Linked DNA regions of Elephas maximus indicus. The protein of the gene in region 2 purifies or fractionates together with the protein of the main gene of each other region. This does not show direct contact. Links are inferred from orthologs where the notes say so. Each region holds a gene or a part of one and is shown on either strand. Other genes may lie near its edges.

What was found.
Region 1: the proteins of POP7 (region 2) and RPP38 purify together in Homo sapiens (co-immunoprecipitation; 3 studies listed by BioGRID and IntAct, with this or other methods). This does not show direct contact. The link is inferred for Elephas maximus indicus from reciprocal best matches to the Homo sapiens genes POP7 and RPP38.

Annotation. Positions count from the first base shown.
Region 1 is NC_064822.1:42,038,673-42,048,918, forward strand, and holds the start of RPP38 (ribonuclease P protein subunit p38), read right to left. Parts: upstream 4,534-10,246; 5' UTR 4,403-4,533; exon of another isoform or gene 3,108-4,402; intron 2,015-3,107; 5' UTR 1,958-2,014; intron 1-1,957. UniProt on the Homo sapiens protein: Component of ribonuclease P, a ribonucleoprotein complex that generates mature tRNA molecules by cleaving their 5'-ends. Also a component of the MRP ribonuclease complex, which cleaves pre-rRNA sequences.
Region 2 is NC_064830.1:92,104,957-92,114,240, forward strand, and holds POP7 (ribonuclease P protein subunit p20), read left to right. Parts: upstream 1-6,111; 5' UTR 6,112-6,280; coding exon 6,281-6,310; exon of another isoform or gene 6,311-6,356; intron 6,357-6,546; coding exon 6,547-6,969; 3' UTR 6,970-7,217; downstream 7,218-9,284. UniProt on the Homo sapiens protein: Component of ribonuclease P, a ribonucleoprotein complex that generates mature tRNA molecules by cleaving their 5'-ends. Also a component of the MRP ribonuclease complex, which cleaves pre-rRNA sequences.

The DNA of each region.
Region 1 (10,246 bases), on a different chromosome or scaffold from region 2:
TTCAAACGCACCAGCCACTCTGGGGGAGAAAAATGTGGCAGTCTGCTTCTGTAAAGATTTACAGCCTTAGAAACCCTATGGAGCAGTTCTGTTCTGTAGGGTTGCCATGAGTTGGAATCAGCTCAACAGCAGTGGGTTTGGAATCTTCACAGGAGCAAATTGCCAGGTCTTTCTCCTATGGAGCTGCTAGATAGGAATGAACTGCCCTTCTTTCAGTTAGCGGCTAAGCACTTAACCACTTGGGGCGCCAGGACTCCTGAAGACCCTTTGCCATTCATAATTACCAGGTATGACTGTTTAAGACACTGGGACAGTAATACACGTACACAATTAAAAATCCAAACACTCTCATTCTGTGCCCTTGTTATTACAAATCTCTTCCTCCCTGGACCCCAGGCCACCTCCACAAGTGCATCACTGTTTCTTGTATATCCTTCCCAAAACACTGAGACAGATGGACATGTCCTTCTTTCCTATGCTTATTCCAAGCTCATTGTTCTGCCTGGCAGTTGACTAAACTAGGGAAACTTAATAATAAAATTTTAAAGATAGTAATCCATTAAGAAAAAATAAGAGTAATAATAAAAGGGATCCTTATGGGAGAAAATGTTATTAACCACTGGTCTAGGGAGTGTGTCCTGTTTATCTATCCCAGAGGCAACTGCATAGACCATTTTCTTTCCTGAATTTTCTTCCTCTCCTTCCAGGGACTTGGCTGAGAACCAGAGGGGCGCACTTGGCAGAACTAAAGGAATTTAAACAAGCTGACCTGGAAAAGTCTAGAGTGTGGGGAACAGTCCCTGTTTTCTGGGAACCAGATGACTGATGCTCCCTCGTTCCAGGTCATTATCCCACCTAGGCCTGCCCTCCCCTAAGTACCCCATGCAGGATTAAGTCCTCTCCAGTTAAATTTCCACTTACCAGGCTGGATACTGAGGTTGAAGAACAAGTGCCTGTGGAGTGAGCCAGAATTTATAAGGCACTTTCCCCACGTACTATTTGACTCTCACAGAATTCTTACAGAATCCTCAATGTGTGGGTGAGGAAACAGTCTCAGGTTAAATATCTTGCCCAAAGTCACTAGTTTTCCAAATACAAATTTTATGCTCTTTCAACACTAACTGCACCTCAAAAATCATTTGTGGCTTTTAAAAGCAAACAGATAGCTGGTCCTCACCCCAGATCCACTGAATTGCCATCTCTCGGGGATGGGACCAGGGTATCTGTACTTGTAAAAATGCTTCCCAAGTGAACTTGAGAACCATAATTAGGAGTCACTGGTGTCGGACAGGCTACCTTTTCCCCATGTGACAGCCCTGAGAAATGGTCACCCCACCTCTACTGGTCTCCGATGTTCCTCCTAGTTACTTTCTCACAGAAAACCAAAATTCAGCTCCTTGGGGTTAGAAATGAAACCTCATTTGTGTCAGTATTACCCGCTGAATTTGATTCCAGGCCAGTGCACCTCAAGTACAGCCACTGCCATCTGTTGACGGAGGCTTGTGTATTGCTCGTATGCTGAACAAGTTTCAGCATAGCTTCCAGACTAAGATGAACGAGGAAGAAAGGCCTGCTGATCTGAAAACTAGCCAGTGAAAACCCTGTGGATCTCATCCCATTGTGTATGGGGTCACCGTGAGTCGGGGGCCAACCTGAACGGCAACTAACAATAACAGGCACCCAGTATCTCTGCTGCCTTCACACCAGCCTAACTGTACAGTCCTCCCCATTCTCCCCACCTCTACTCCCTGCTCCCCCTCAAGCTCAGAGAATCAGGAAGAAAAGCAGCTCATCCAAAGCCAATATACTGGTTGGCAGAGGCTGGCATCACATTGAAGATGGTCAAGAACAGGGAAATAAATGACTGAGTGGCCAGACATATGTTAATATAGCTCCTGCCAAACTGCAGGTCAGTTAATACATCTCAGCATTCGAACAACACGGGGTTGGTACTTACAGTCTTGTGCTCTGGAGGGATAGCAAGATATATATTAACTCCTCCTGTCTTCAAAATCTAGTGTGGAGACAAAGAGATCCAGGTTGTTAGAATAATAAGAGTCTCATACAACATAATCCAAGAACAAAGCACAGGTAGTCCTTGACTTATGACAGGGTTCCATTCCTACGACTCTGGTAAATCAGTTCTGGCTTAAGTTAAATACCTCTTTTTTTTTCATTATTACCGCCTTTTATCATCAGTATCTTTATAATTCCAATCTACAACACTGTATGTAGTACGTATTACTAATGATTAAAAAAATAAGACGGTCATAAGTGCAGTTTGTCATAACTTGAATACATTATAAGCTGGGGACACCTGTACTGATAAAGTAACAGCTTTGGAGAAAGGGAGTGAAATGGGAAAGCCTCCCTCAGGTGTCTTTTAAGCTATGTTTTGGAGGTCTCTACTACTTATAGGATCAACTACAAACTCCTTAAGGTGATGTTCAAGGCCCTCCACACTCTGGCCCTGTCTCCCCACCAGCTTTTCTCCGTATGTCCCACCATGCACATTACACCCCAACACTGAATCACATACTATTTAATGAGGCCAAGAGTTTCTCACAACCATGCCTTTATTTGAATTATCCCCTCTGCCGGGAATACCACTCCCATCCTCACCCCAGTGACCGCTTTCTTAAACATTTATAGATTATCCACAATGCACCAGGCCATAAAGTATTAAACAGGTAAGTACAGGCACTGACCTCACTGAGCTTAGAGTCTATGAAGAAGACATGTCAAACAGGTAATAATAAATTAGGGAACAACAGAAGCTAAAAGAACGTGTAACAGGCCTAACTTAACTTGCTAGTCCCTGGGTGGCACAAGCAGTTAAGCGCCTAACTACAAACCTAAAGGATGGTGGTTGAAAGCCACCCAGAGACAACACAGAAGACAGTCCTGGTGAGCTGCTTCCAAAAAGTCACAGCCTTGAATATCCTACATAACACAGTTCTACTCTGCACACATGGGGTCGTCAAGCCAGCAACTAACAACTTACTTTAGGGGGTCAGAAGTGACCTTTTACCCTATATCTGAAAAATACCTGCCAAAGGGAGTTAAAAAAAAAAAAAAAACCAAAGGGAGTAAAAAAAAAAACTTACTTTAGAGGGTCAGAAGTGACCTTTTACCCTGTATCTGAAGAATACCTGCCAAAGGGAGTAAAAAAAAAAAAAAAACCAAAGGGAGTAGGAAGTAGAAAATGGTTTTCCAGGGAACAGCATTAAAGGAAATGAAACCACATCACTGTAGCAGAGAAGGTGGAGAAAGTGGTGAGGTATTAGGTAAGGCAGGTAAGAACAGATGGTGAGGACCCCTGCAAGCCTTGCAGTGGGAAGTGACTGTCACGTTTAAAGCAGAGGAACAGCATGACTAGAACGGTGTTACAAGGAGACTTCTGTGATTCAGGGCAAAGGACAGCCTGGAAGCGTACAAGACTAGAAGCAGCAAAGAGGCTATGGGAGTAGGCCAGGTAAGAAATAGGGATGGTGGCCTGCACTGGAGCTGCCGCAGAGTGAATGGTGAGAAATACATGCTAGTTGAAATACGGGGTAAAACCTACTCAACCTACTGATCTACTAAGGAAGGACATAACTCTAACTGAAGGGATGATGGCACCAGTTCTCAATCGCTGAATTCCTAAGAGTTGATCCTCCCGAGTATATGCCGCCACTGTACCTGGTACCTTCCTACTTTATTTGTTGTCGTGGTGTACCGTGGAGCCCATTCCGACTCATAGCGACCCCTGCAGGACAGCGCAGAACTGCCCCGTAGGGTTTCCAAGACTACTCTTTATGGAAGGCCACTGCCCCATCTTTCTCCTGCAGAACGAGAGAGGCTGGTGGGTTAGAACTGCTGACCTTTCGGCTAGCAGCCCAACGCTTAGCCACTGCGCCACCAGGGCTCCTTACTTTACCACTTAGCATAAGGAACTGTAATTATTTTTTTGTCGTCTCTATTTCCAAACTGTGTAGGACTGAAAGGCTAGGGTCGCGTTTTATCTTTCCATTCCTAGTATCCAACAGATCCTCCACACAGGTTTGGGGGGAGATATTCCAGGCAGAGTGAGGATAGCTCGCCCCGGGCGAGAGAAGCCAGTCCGGGAAGGCGGGCGGGCGCAGCGGCGGCGCGACGGGCGTCCGAGAAAGCCGTAGACACTTTGCGTGTCAGCTGGGGGTGGGCACAAGCTCGATCCCACCCTAGACCGGCCCTCTTACCTCCTCTCCGTGCCCCTTCCCCAGCGCCAAATCAAGATGGCGACAGCGCGGCCACCGGCTCGCGAGGGCTGCGGCTACAAACTGGCCGCGATGCGTGTGCACAAAGCGCTCGCCTTTTCTCAGGCCCCGCCTTACAAATGGGGCGCTGCAGAATCGCTAAAATAATCTTCGAATTTCATTACCCTGAGTTAAACCACTCCCAATGGGGAAAGTAGGTCCAAAGAGCAGCGTGACGCGGAAGCGACAAAGCGAAAGGCAGCCTACAAACGCCTGAAAGTCGGCCCGGCGGTGAAACCTCCCGGCCGTGCCTTGAACCGGCAGTGCGCAGGCGCGATATTTGTCTCGCGATACCCTCCGGTTGCTACGGTAACGTAATCGCCGTCTCGACTGCTCTGTGGCTTTTGAGTGAATGTTTTTATGGATGAAAGTCCCTCAGGGCATCTTTTGTCGCCTTGGCACCTTCTTTCTTCTAACCCAAGTTCTACCTGAAACCCAGTGCCGTCGAGTCGATTCCGACTCATAGCGACCCTATAGAACAGAGTAGACCTGCCCCATAGAGTTTCCAGGGAGCGCCTGGCAGATTCGAACTTTACAGCGCCCATAAATCTGAGCGCACTATCTCTTCTCGCTTTTCTGTATTTGTCTTGCCTAGGCTTGCCTCAGAGACGGAGGGTAGCCCTGGTGACTCAGTGGTTAAAGCCGTAGGCTGCTCCAGGGGAGAAAGATATGGCCGTCTGCTTTGGTAAATAAAGATTACAGCCTTGCAAGCCCTATGAGACTTCTGTCCGACAGGATCAATATAGGGTCGCTTTTTTATGAATAGGTGGGTTTATGAATAGGAATCAACTCGATGGCAACGGGTTTGTTTTTGCAAGAGATGTGATGAGTCCTGGTGGCGCAGTAGTTAAGCGCTCTGCGGCTATTGGCGGTTCCAACCCACCAGAGCCCATCAGCCTCTGGAGGAGAAAGATGTAACAGTCTGCTGCGGTAAAGATTTACAGCCTGGAAAACCCTATCGGGCAGTTCTACTCTGTCCTGTAGGGTCCCTATGAGTGGGAATGGACGCGACACCCAAAACCCCAGTCCTTGCCTGTCCCACTGAGCCAGTCTCCATCGAATCCCTGCCTAATCCCTGTGAACAAGAAAAGCAAGATAAATTGAGGAGGTGGTTTACAGATAACAATGTGGAGAATCTTGAGCCACCTTAAAGAGAGGAGAATAAGGGCTGCTCTGAGTAATTGAAAGGCAGTTCAGAATATTCCTCCCAATGTTCACTGTGGCTGCTCCAACCAACAGAGAACTCAGCGGTCAGGAATGGAGTCGCTGGGAAGTCAGGAATTGGTAAAACAGCTGATTAACACTTTAACGGTCAGTGATCAGAACCTCTTGATCTACCCTTCGCTAGAACGTAGAAGACAGTAGGTTGCTTCTGGCCTAAAAAGCTTCTATACCCCTTCTTTTTCTGTTCCGCTCTAATTTGGGCCCCTTCCTTTTCCTGTTCTATATATCCTGCTCCTTTCTTCAATCTCTTTGTCGCAGGGCAAGGTTTCCCAGCTTGGAATCAAGTCCTGCCTAGGTTCTTGCCTTCTACTGACCGTGAGTGACCAGGAGAGGCTCAGAGGTTCCACATGAATAAAGGTTTATTAGTGACAGAAAGCAGAGGCTCGCGAGCGAGGAGGGGAGAGGAGCTTCTGCCTATGCTAGCCTCCAGTCTCTCCCTGAACGGAGGTTTTCCTGGAGTTATAAAGGGCTTTAGGCAGAAAGGAGCTCATGTTTTATTCATTGCTTTGGGGGGGGGGAAGGCGGGGCTTTCTGAGAAATAACCCAAACCCAGTGCCGTCGAGCGACCCTCTAGGACAAATAGGTTAAGAAATTAGGTGGGTGCGCATCTGGAATCCACGGTGGAGTCAGTTTGGACGATGTCACATCACCACTGCACAGTCTCGGTGGCCACTTGACAAGGCTGTAAGGTTGTACCCATTTTCACTGTGCATGCCCTGGGGATTGGCTGATTCTGTTCATCTTTGGAAAACAGTTTGTAGGGAAAGTACGTAGAACTTCATGAGAGTCCCGGAAGTGGGTTATCTTGTAACATCATCCCCTATAGTAAACCCGTTGCTATCGAGTAGATACCGACTCATAGCAACCCTAAAGGACAGAGTAGAACTGACCGGTAGGGTTTCCAAGGAGTGCCTGGTGGATTCGAACTGCCAACCTTTTGGTTAGCAGCTGTACGTCTTAACCACTATACCACCCTATGGTAGAGTCCTGAAAAACTTACAAGAGCGATATGCAGGATGCCACTCCTATGTTGGGGTCCTGAAAAACAATTTGAGAGAGAGATGTAAGATGCCACTCCTATAGTGGGGTCTTGAAAAACGAGAGAGATATGTAAGACTTTGTGCGTCACGGGCTGCATGTGTAGGTTCTCTTGTAACATCACCCACAGGATAGAGTCCCAGATCAACGGGCCTGTTATTCTGGTCTTGAGGCTCTCCAGCCTTCTGTCCCTGCCTCATCTTCACTACTCTTTTTTGGTCTAGTTTCTATATTTTTAATTCTCACAACCCGCATAGTAAAATGGAGCCCTTACAACACAGTGGTTAAAAGCCTGGCTACTGACAAAGGGCTGCAGTTCCACCACCAGCAGCTCCTTGGAAACCCTATGGGGTGGTTCTACTCTATCCTATAGGGTCACTTTGAGTCAGAATCCACTCCCTTGCAATGGGTTAGGAAGGTTTTTTGTTTGTTTGTTTTTTGGTTTACATAGTACTTGGAGTCCCTAGGTGGTGCAAACGGTTAATGAAAGAAGAACACCCCCACATTTACTTCCAAAGAAAATAAATCAGCCATTGAAAACCCAAAGGAGTACAGTTCTCTTCTAACTCATGTGGAACGGCCATGAGTCAGAGTGAACTTGAACTTGATGGCAGCTAGGTTTTTTTTATGTAGTACGTAACTGGCCATAAAGTAAACAGAAAAATAAAACCAAAACTTGTGTTGCCTTTGGTCAAAGATTATTGCAGGATACACAGGGTAGAGTACAATGTGATTTTTAACACAATTAGATTGAAAAGATCAAAGTTACAAGTTTGAGCATAACAACAGGCTTTTGTTTCATAAAGTGACTCATGTTAGTTCATTGTTATGATAAACTACAAACATCATGCAGTTCTAAAGTAGCCTCAGCTTTTAAACTGTAAGACAAATAGAGATGCAGAGATCTAATTGGAATGTTAGTGTAATAGGAAGGAAATAGGTATGCAGTTATCCCCCTTAAGGTTCCAGACTGATAGTTTATCATCTCAGTTTACAGTTGCTCCATGAAGATCACCTGTTGCTGCTGAGTCGATCCTGACTCACAGCAACCCTATAGGACAAAGTAGAACTGCCCCCATAGGGTTTCCAAGGCTATATATACTCTTTACAGGAGTAGACTGCCACATCTTCCCCCCGCCCCACCCCGCCAAAGTGGCTGGTGGGTTTGAACTGCTGACCTTTCAGTTATCAGCCAAGTGCTTAACTATTTGAGCCACCCAGGGACTGTGTTAAATCTTACTGGCCTTTTAAATCCAAAAGTTTGGTAGCTACTGCATGGCACTGCCCCTACTGTGAGCCATTGAAAGAAGCTACAGAAAGGCGTACAGATCTTCCCCCTCCTCTGTGTTAAGATCTTACTGCCTTAATACACAGTGTGGTGGTTAACCATGCAGACCCCAGAGGCAGACTGCATCGGGTCAGATTCTGGCCCTGTCACTGGGCCCAGCCACAGTCTCTGATTCAGAACGTCAGGAGTGGAGCCAAGGCTGCATTAGATGCTGCTGCTGCTGCTGGGTCCAGGAGCACATTTTGAGAACTGCCCCATAGAGTTCCCACAGCTGTAAATCTTTACAGAAGCAGACTGTTGCGTCTTTCTCCCGCGGAGTGGCTGGTGGGTTCAAACTGCAGACCTTTTGGTTAGCAGCGGAGTGCTTAACTACTGCACTACTAGGGCTCCTTCCATGAAAATTACCAGCTCTTGTATTCCATGGCTGTGGAGCTAGCCTGCCTAGGCTGAAATCCTAACTTCACCACTGACTAGGCATATGACCCTAGGCAAATTAATTAACCTCCTCTGTGAAGTGATAAAAATAATACGTGCTGTGAGGATTAGAAGAGGTAATTTATGTAAGATCCTTAGCACGGCTCCTGGAAGAGTTCCTGCTTGATATATACAGCTGTGACGATGAATCCAGTGACAACCTTCCAAGAATTCAGTCAATAAAAAATTCACTATGGCTTCTCTGCTTTTATTGCTTGTCTATTTTAAGACTGGCAATAAAGTTAACTAAAGTGAACAGTTATAATTCAGATAATATTTTCTACCATTTGTAGTGTACAAACATTACAACAAAAAAGTTTTATCTTTAAATTCTCACATGATTCAATCACCTCAAAACACATTTTCTTTCAGTGTTCCCTTCTAGTTGATTTCACATTTATGTGTTTTTACAGTCTTAATATAGATTAAAGTTTATATTATTTTTCTTTCTATATAACGTTTTCCATGATTCTCAAAATAGTCTTTAAAGTATCACTTCAGGGAATGCAAACTGGTACAACCATTTGGAAAATGATATGGCACTTCCTTAAAAAGTTAGAGATAGAAATATCCTATGGTCCAGCAATGCCACTCCTAGGAATATATCCTAGAGAAATAAGAGCCGTCACACCAATAGATATATGCACACCCATGTTCATTGCAGCATTATTCACAATAGCAAAAAGATGGAAACAACCTAAGCGCTCATCAAGGAATGGATAAACAAACTATGCTACATACACACAGTGGAATACTAGGCAACGGTAAAGAACAACGATGAATCTGTGAAACATCTCACAACATGGATGAATCTAGAGGGCATTATGCTGAATGAAATAAGTCAATCACAAAAGGAGAAATATTATATGAGATTACTATTATAAAAACTCATGAAAGAGTTTACACACAGAAAGAAACAATCTTTGATGGTTGTGAGGGGTTGTGATGGGTGAGGAGGGGAAAACACTAAATAGACAATAGGTAAGTGGCAACTTTGATGAAGGGTAAGACGGTACACAATACTGGGGAAGCCAGCACAACTTGACCAAGGCAAGGTTATAGAAGTGTCGTAGACACATCCAAACTCTGAGGGGCCAAATTACTGGGCTGAGTCCTGGGGGCCATGGTCTTGGGGAACATCTAGCTCAATTGCCATAACATAGTTTATAAAGAAGATGTCCTACATCCTACTTTGGTGAGTAGCATCTGGGGTCTTAAAAGCTTGTGAGTGGCCATCTAAGATATTCCACTGGTCCCACCCCATCTGGAGCAAGGGAGAATGAAGAAAACCAAAGACACAAGGAAAAGATTACTCTAAAGGACTAATGGGCCTCAACCACCACCACCTCCACCAGACTGAGTCCAGAACAACTAGATGGTGCCCGGCTACCACCACGGACTGCTCTGACAGGGATCATGGTAGAGGGTCCCGGACAGAGCTGGAGAAAAATGTAGAACAAAATTCTAATTCACAAAGAAAAAAAAGACCAGACTTACTGGTCTGACAGAACCTGGAGAAACCCTGAGAGTATGGCCACTGGACACCCTTTTAACTCAGTACTGACGTCATTCCGAGGTTCACCCTTCAGCCAAAGATTAGACAGGTCCGGAAAACAAGACTAACTTGGCACACCAACCCAGGGGCAAGGGCAAGAAGGCAGGAGGGGACAGGAAAGCTGGCAATGGAGAACCTAAGGTCAAGAAAGAGAGTGTTGACACGTCATGAGGCTGGCAACCAATGTTACAAAATAGCATGTATATTAATTGTTTAATGAGAAACTAATTTGTTCTATAAACCTTCATCTAAAGCACAGTAAATATAAAATAAAATAAATTATTACTTTAACACATATTTAGTATCCTATGCTGAATGATGTATGGCAATGGGCATGCTGAATTATCAGTTTTTACTTTTTAATATCAGCTCTTTCCATTATTTTATCTT
Region 2 (9,284 bases):
TAATCTCATTGTGGTTTTGATTTGCATCTCTCTGATGGCTAACGACATTGAGCATCTTTTCATGTGTTTGGTGATCATTTGAACGTCCTCTTTGATGAAATGTCTATTCAAGTCCCTTCCCCATTTTATGATTGGGTTGTCTTTTTGTTGCTAAGTTGTTGAAGTTTTGTATATATTTGAGATACTAGCTTCTAGATCAGATATAAAGTTTCCGTAGATATTCTCCCAGTCGGTAGCTTGTCTCTTCATATTTTTGGTAAAGCCTTTTGATGAACAAAAGTTTTTCATTTGTATGAGATTCCATTTATTTATTTTGTCTTTTGCTGTTTGTGCTTTTGCTATTAGATAGTCCGTTGTTAAAAGCTAGGCCCAACAGCATCACCCCTACATTTTCTTCTGAGAATTTTATGGTTTTAGTTTGTACATTTAGTTTATTCCATTTTGAATTTCTTTTTGCATATGGTGTGAAACATATCCTGTTTCATTTTTCTGCGTGTGGAAATCCAATTTTCCCAGTGCCATTTATTAAAGAGACTCTTCTTTCTCCCATTGAATGGACTTAGCACCCTCGTTAAAAATCAGTTGACCATAAATGTGTGAGTTTATTTCTAGACTCTCAATTCTATTCCATTTGTCTACGTGCCTATCATTATACCAGTACCAGACTTTTTTGATTACTGTAGCTGTATAGAAAAGTTTTAAAATCAGGAAGTGTGAGTCCTCATACTTTGTTCATCTCTTGCAACATTGCTTTCACTATTTGGGGCCTCTTGCTATTCCACATAAAGTTCAGGGTTGGTTTTCCATTTCTGTAAAGAAGGCTGTTGGAATTTTGATCGGGATTATGTTGAACGCATAGATCACTTTGGGTAGTATTGACATCTGAAAATATTAAGTCTTGCAATCCGTGAACATGGAACATCTTTCCATTTATTTAAGTCTTCTTTAACCTCTTTCAGCAGTGTTTTATACTTCTCTTTGTATAAATCATTCACATCCCTGATTAAATTTATTTCTAGTTATTCTCTTAAATGTTATTGTAAATGGAATTGTTTCCCTAATTTACCTTTCAGATTTCTCATTGCTGGTGGATGGAAACCCCACTGATTTATGTTTGTTGACCTTGTACCGTGCAATTCTGCTAAATTCCTCTGTTAGCTCTAGAAGTTTTCTTGCGGACTCATAGGGATTTTCTATATATAGGATCATATCATTTGCAAACAGAGATAATTTTACTTCTTCTTTTCCAATCTGGATACCTTTTATTTGTTTTTCTTGTCTTACTGCTTTGGCTAGGAGGCCAGAGACTTCTTAAGGCTTACATCCCAAGAACCGGAGGTCAGGCAATGAGAAGAGTGCAGGATTGAGAGACAGACAGTTTTACCAGAAGTCCATTTATATAGTGGAGGCAGGCCACACCCCCAGGTAAACTCCCCTTTCAACTGATCGGCTGCTCACATCAGATCACAGAGTGGAAAGTGATTACAGTACACAGTATCTGCCAAACCACTGAAAATAATAGCCTAGCCAAGTTGGCACATAAGAGTAACCATCACAGGTAGTATTGACATCTTAATAATATTAAGTCTTCCAATCCATGAACATGGAACAACTTCCCGTTTGTTTAAATCTTCTTTAACCTCTTTCAGCAGTGTTTTATAATTTTCATTGTATAAGTCTTTCACATCTCTGGTGGATTGTTTGTTTTCTTACTCTTGGGTTTAGAAAGTTCTTTATATATTCTGGGTACAAGTCCTTTGTCAGATACGTGATTTGTGAGTGTTTTCTTCTAGTCTGTGGTTTGTCTCTTCATCCTGTTAATGTGGTCTTTCACAGAGCATATGATTTAGTTTTGATAAAGTACAACTTACCAACTTTTTGCTTCTATGAAAAAGAAAAAAAAAAAAACTTTTGGTATCATGTCTAAGAACTCTTAGCCTGAGCCTAGGTCATGAAGATTTTTTTCCCCTATGCTTTTTCCTGCAAATTTTATACTTTTAAGTTTTATATTTAGATATACTACCACTTTTTTGTTAATTTTTGTATAGGGTCGAGGTTCAGTTCTTTGCTATAGATGTCCAGTTGCTTCAGCCCCATTTGTTGAAAAGACTATCCTTCCTCCATTGAGTTGCTTTTGCACCATTGTCAACAATCAGATGGCTGTACTTGTATAAGTCTGTTTCTGGGTTCTCTATTTGGTTCCACGGATGTTTCTTTCTATCCCACTACTCTGTCTTGATTATTGTGTTTATATAGTAAGTCTTAAAATCAAGTAGTGTGAGTACAACAACTTTGTTTTTCAAAATTGTTTTAGCTATTTTACTTCCTTGCCTTTCCATGTAAAATTTTAAATAAGCTTGTCTATACCTACAAAAACTCTTGCAGGAATTTTTATAGGAATTGCATTAAATCTACAGATCAGCTTGGAAGAATCAGTGTCTTTACTATGTTGTGTCTTCCAATACATAGATATGACATACCTCTTCCTTTAATTAGATCTTTTTTCTTTCATCAGTGTCTTGTAGTTTTCAGCATACAGATGTTGTACATGTTTTGTTAGTCTTATACCTAAGTATTTCTCCTCCTCTTCCTCCTTCTTCTTTTGGAGTGATTGTAAATTGTATTGTTTTATTTCAGTTTCCAATTGTTCATTGCTGATGTATACAAATTCAATTGATTTTGTAGTTGATCTTGGATCCTGTGAACTTGCTATAATCATTTACCAGTTCTAGGAGTTTTTCTTTTGGTGGATTCCTTAGAATTTTTTAATGTATACAATCATGTCATAAGCAAATAGATTCAGTTTCATTTCTTTCTTTCCAATCTGTATCCTTTTCTTGCCTTATTGCACTGCTAGGACTTCCAACACTATGTTGGTTAAGAGTAGTAAGAGAAAACATCCTTGCCTTGTTTCTGATTTTAAGAGAAAAGCTTTCAGTCTTTCATTATTAGCATGATGTTAACTTTGTCAATGCTCTTTACCAGGCTGGCGAAATTCCTTTTGTTGCTTGTTTGCTGAGAGTTTTTACCACGAACGGGTGCTGAGTTTTGTTAAATGGTTTTTCTGTAACAACTGATATAATCATGTGGTTTTTCTTCCTTAGCCTGTTAACATGGTGAATTAAATTGATTTAGTTTCTTATATTGAACCAGTCTTGCATTCCTGGAATAAACCCCACTTGGTGGTGTGTATCCAAAAACCAAACCCAGTACCGTGGAGTCAATTCTGACTCATAGCGACCCTATAGGACAGAGTAGAACTGGCCCATAGAGCTTCCAAGGAGCACCTGGCAGATTCGAACTGCTGGCCCTTTGGTTAGTAGCTGTAGCACTTAACCACTATGCCACCAGGGGTTCCAGTGGTGCGTATAGCTCTTTTTATATATTGCTAGATTTGATTTGCTAACATGTTGTTGAAGATTTTTGTGTCTTTGTTCATGAGAGATATCAGTTTGTAGTTTTCTTTTTTTGTACTCTTTGTCTGGTTTGGCTTCATAAAATGAGTTGGCAAGTGTTCCCACCTCTTCTATTTTCTGGCAGAGATTGTGCGGAATTTATGTTATTTCTTCTTTTGGTAGAATTCACCAGTGAAACCATCTGTGCCTTGGTATTTCTTTTTCTGAGGGTTTTTAACTATGGATTTAATTAATAGTTATAGGACTGTTCAGATTATCTGTTTTATCTTGGATGAGTTTTGGTAGTTTGTGGTTTTCTAAAAATTGGACCGTTTCATATAAGTTGTTCAATTTGTGTTCGGAGAATTGTTTATATTACACCAACTCCTTAGTATCGACTATGTCATTATCCAACACTTTGCTTTTATGATAATAGTAAAAAATCTATCTATTTTGCACATTAAGGATGTACATCTGGCAGTAACGAATGTGAAGTACAAGGCGAGACTAATACTGCCTGTGATGGTCATGAGTCAACTTGGCTGGGCCACGCATGCTTCTCAGTGGTTTGATAATTATGTAATGATGTAACTTAGCAGTTACATAATGATGTAGTCTGCCTCCATTTTCAAGTAATGCCTATTTTTGCAATAACGACCCGGTCTTTGGAACCCATCCAGGTCAGCAAGTGAGGAGTGGGTGTATTCCCTTAACCCATTGCTGTGGAGTCAATTTCAACTTCTAGCAACCCTGTCAGACAGAGCAGAGCTGCCCCATTGGGTTTCCAAGGCCACGGGGCAGCTGGTGAGTTCCAACCACTGACCTTTTGATTAGCAACTGAGTGCTTTAACCACTGTGCTGCCAGAGCTCCTTATTTCCTTACCCAGTGCCATTGAGTCGATTCCGACTCATAGCAACCGTATAGGACAGAGTAGAACTGCCCCGTAGAGTTTCCAAGGAGCGCTTGGTGGATTCGAACTGCCGACCCTTTGGTTAGCAGCCGTAGCACTTAACCACTATGCCACCAGGGTTTCCTCCTTATTTCCTTAGTATCCTTTTAATGGCTAAGAGAACTTTAGTACTATCTTCCTCTTTCAATTCTGATCATAATTTGTGGCTTCTCTTTTTTTTTTTTTTTTTGATTGGTTTTGCTAGAGGTTTATCAATATTCCTTATCTTTTCAATGGACCAGATTTTGGGTTGATTTTGTCTATTTTCTGTTTTCTATGTCACTATGCTCTTATCTTTATTATTTCTATCTTCTTGCTTTGACTTTAGTTTTCTAGTTTCTTGACGTGGAACCTTAGATTATGCTTCCACTGTTCTTAAAATGCTGTTCAGTGTTTCCTGAATGCACTTAAACTCCTTGGTTGCCTGAACTCCTACTTATCCATCAAAACCCTGTTGGGATGTTACTTCTGAGGCAGAATAGTGTTGTAGCCAAGAGCATAAGTTCTGGAGCCAACCTTTCCTCCCAGCTCTCCCCACTGCATAAACTCCAAGTTTGTGGTTAGCAAAAGAATCTGAACCAAAAGGAGAATTACAGAATTGAAAGAGTGCTGGGAACAAAGTTTTCAGGAATTTGACCTCTTTCCAACATCTGGTCAAATGGGGGTTGACACCATCCTGAGCAAACAGAGAGGGGCTGGGGGTCAAAAATGCTAACTCACATGTGTATGCTTACAGTTTTCAAAGTTATACTGAGTTTTGGAGCAACTCAATGGCAGGACAGGAATTATCACTCCCATTTCGGTGATGGGGAATTCAAGCAGAGCTCCATTCAGGGTGCTCAGTGCAGGTCTAACCCAATATCAGCGCTCTTTCTGCTGAGAACGCTCCAGAAACTACACTGATCTGGGCAGAGAAACCACCCCCAGGGACAGAAAACCCTTCCCACTGGCCTTGGGGAGCCAAGAATCCCCCGCGCTGCTTCCCACCTCCTCCGCCAGGGGGCGCACATCCTTGCTCCCCAGTCGCAGGCAGCAAAGAGCCAGTGGGCGGTGGTTAAGGGATGTGGGTGGGTCAGCGTGCCCCCGGGGAACCGTCCTGACCCCTCCGAATTCGAAGACCAGATCGGAGTGAAGCCTTGGCTTACGGCTTTCAGCTTGGGGCCCCAAGGACTGGCCTGGGAGTCAGCCCGACAAAAATAACGAAGAGGAACAGGTACCCATGAATCCTAGGGGTAGTTCCGGGCCGGTGTCCTCCGGCCAGGTAGGGACCTGGCTTTGACTCTAAATCCCCCCCACCCCCACCGCCCGTCTTTGGGCCATAGCGGACCTTGGATCGGAGGTCAGCTCTGCCAACTCTGCCCACATCGGACTGCCCCGACTTGCCTTCAGGCGCTTTCACAACCACATTCTCCTGTACTCACCCCCCTCCCTGCGATCTTTGGGAAGAAACCCACCCTCCGCGCTCCTAAAATCCCCTCGTCTCTCCTCTGCCCCCGGTTGGGACCCCTGCTGAACCGGGAGTGTAGTCTCGCCTGGAGAAGCTGGCCCTCCCCCTTCTAGTCCCGCCCCCGCTTAGTCTTGGGACACTCCCCTTCCCTCCCCGCCCCGCCTTCGAAGTGTACACGTGGTAGATCCCATCTCCCCCCCGGAAGCCTCGCGTTACTCAAACACATCCCGCGATAGCCAGAAAAGGGGCGGGGAGACGGGAGAGAGAGAGAAGAGGATTCGTGGATTCGCTGGCCTGCCGCGCGCGGGGGCCGGGGGCACATGCGCACTGCGCAGCCCTTTGCCGACGGGGCGCCTGCCACCTGGCGTGCGTGTTGCGCGCCTCTTCCCTTCTCTTCGTTTCTTTGCGGCTTGCGTGTTGCGGGCAGCGCCCTCTACTTGGGCGGGTCGGCGTAACCTTTGAGTGGCCCGGCTGAGAGCGGGCAGCGTATGCTTGGAGGGTACTGTGGAACGAAGAGAGTAGGCGCGGAAGAGCCGGGGAAGGGGAACGTTGGAGGGGCGTGAGGTTGGGGCGATGTAATGAATGAATAAGAACTGGGGGTGGGGGGGTTACAGGAGCTTGTGGTAAGTGGGAGGGGACTGAGGCTGGAGGGAAAGGGACGTCATGTGCGCCTCTCCCGGGTGCATCCTCGGGGTAGGAACGGCTTCGTAGCTGCTGGTGACCCATCTCTGATCCCGCCCCTTTCCCGTGCCAGGGCACACAGATGGCAGAAAACCGAGGAGCCGTCGAGGTGGAGCTGGACCCAGTGGAGTACACCCTTCGGAAGCGGCTTCCCCACCGCCTGCCCCGGAGGCCCAATGACATCTACGTCAACATGAAGACTGATTTCAAGGCCCAATTGGCCCGCTGCCAGAAGCTGCTGAACGGAGGGACACGGGGTCAGAACGCTTGCAATGAGCTGTATATCCACGGCTTAGGCCTAGCCATCAATCGCGCCATCAACATTGCGCTGCAGCTGCAGGCAGGCAGCTTCGGGTCCTTGGAGGTGGCCGCCAATACCTCCACCGTGGAGCTTGTGGATGAGCTGGAACCAGAAACTGATACACGCGAACCGCTAGTCCGCATCCGCAACAACTCAGCCATCCATATCCGTGTCTTCAGGGTCACACCCAAGTAACAGAAGGGAAGGTGGACCTCGTATCCACCCACCACCTCTACAGCCAGGCTCAGATGTGACCCTCCTTGTACCGAGTACTGTCATGGACCTCCAGAAAAGGCCTAGTCCCTCACAGCCCAAAGGACTGAATTGAGAGGGAGGGCGTGGTCTCTTGTTGGGCTCCTGCAGGGTGTTATCTTGAGTCTCTGTGGTCTGTAAACCATTATCTGACACAATAAAATGTACCAAGTTGTGTTAGTGTCCTGCCACCCCACTGCTACTGCCTCTTCCCTGTGAGTACCTGGAAGGGAAGAGCAGGAAACTTTACGAGGGTTTAGCCACAGAAGGCAAACCCAGATGGTCCCTGCCTTCACAGAAAGCATAAATTGTATTAGCGACCGTGTAACATAAAACAGACTAGTACAAGATGCAGCAGCCTGGCAATCCCAATGTTTGCTTTAAGATTTTTCCTCCTTCCAGGAAGGCCAGGAGGAAGCATATGCTCACCCACTGAAATGCAGCTGGGATGGTTGTATGCTTGGGAAGCATTTGGCCACTCCTCTCTGGTGATATGATCATGGTTCCCAAGCACAGAAAAGGGTTTAAGGATGAAGGAGGCAATGTTAAGACTGTTGGGGCCTTCTTTGTGCCAGGCTCTGGTGGGGAAGGACCAACTGCTTCATTTAGTTCCTGGAGCTGTAGGGCCCATATTCTGAGCAGCTGTGGTCTAGAGCCTGTCAGGCCCTTCTGGGCTACGGTAGAAGAAAGGGAACCTCCCCCACCCTTCCCCCCCAAAATAATTACTGGGCACACAGGTAGTAAATACTTTTTTGTTTGGCTATTTCTGGAGTCCTCTGATTTTTCACATTTATCAAACAAGAGTCATCTAAAGCAATGTTTATTAAACTGAGCAGTGACCCATTTGTGGGTCTTGAAATAGATTTACTGGATCACAGCCTATTTAAAGAAATGAAAAGGGCAAGTGGTGTTTTGATGCAGCTTTTTCAGTTGCATCTGCGTATGTTTATAAGTACATATGTGTACTAGTCATGATGTAAATTGTTTTTACTGTTGATTAAGGTCATAAGAGCTTGACAACTCTGATCTAAAGGTTAGTAATGGTGTATTAACTCTAGTGTTCTTGGAGGTAGTTTGGTTCTGAAGTCTGAAGATCAGGCTCCTAATTTTTCACCTTTACTCCTCTGCCTTGTGTATTACTGTTGATGAGGGACTTTCATGTGGGGTCTGTGACTGCCAGCAACTTGGGAAAGCAGACTCTGCAGAAGGACCAGTGCTTCATTCATACAGCTGAACCCATGGTGAGTGCCAGCTGTGAACAAGGCGTGAGCTGGGGTCTGGGATACAAAGATGAGTATAAGATGGCATGATCCCTGCCTTCAAGGAGCTCACCATCTAATAGGGAAGATGGACACACAATTTTTGTGAATGAGTGAAGTGTGTAATATAAAAAGTACAGGTAGCCATGATGTAGAAATACCGAGAAGGAAACAGCCACCTGCCTAGTGGGGTCCACATTTCACCTTTGACCTGAGTATTGAAGGATGAATAGGAGTTCGCCAGGCAGAGAAGGGAGAGGGCATATCTGGCAGAGGAATCAGCATGCACAAACGTGAGGGTTCAGGATGTTTTCTGGGACTGAAAGGACACTCAGGGTGGCTAGAAAGCAGGAGGCACTGGGGACGCTTGAGGGAGACAAGGCTGGAGAGATCTCTATGAGGCCACCTCCTCCCCCCGCATCAGCCTTGACTGCAGGGCTCCCTTGCTTTGGAGCCCCCCAGTAGCAGAGTGGGGATTCAGCAGGGAGCCGGGTGGAACTATGTGTCTCTTTGCACGTATGTGTTCTTGTCTGTCTGTGCTCCTGGCCTGGGCCCAGCTGAGGTGGTGGCAAGCAGCCCTTTTGCATTTGGTTTGTTTTGGCAGCTCCCTCTCCCAGAGTTTTTGTTGTTTCTACTCCATGTTCACTCACTGCTTGCCAGTGGGGCTTCCCTCAGTGGCAGGTCTGCAAAAACAGCCACTAGATGTTGCCACTGGAAGAGAGGGTCTGGGTTTCACCCTATACTATGTGGGGGTGGGTAGGGGGTGTGGGAAGGGTCTCTGATCCCCTGCAGTCCATGTGAGGTGGGAGGGCAGGGAATCCCGCTTCTCTGTAGGGAGGCCCACTGCAGCCTCTGTTCCTCTCCGGTCTACTGGTTCTCTGAAGTGACTTCCATCAAAGCTTGGGGACACAGAGGAAGGGGATGGAGGTAAGGGTTGTGTCCAAATGCAGTTCCCCGCCCTTCTTTTTACTCAACAGTTGCAGACCCCACAATGAGTGG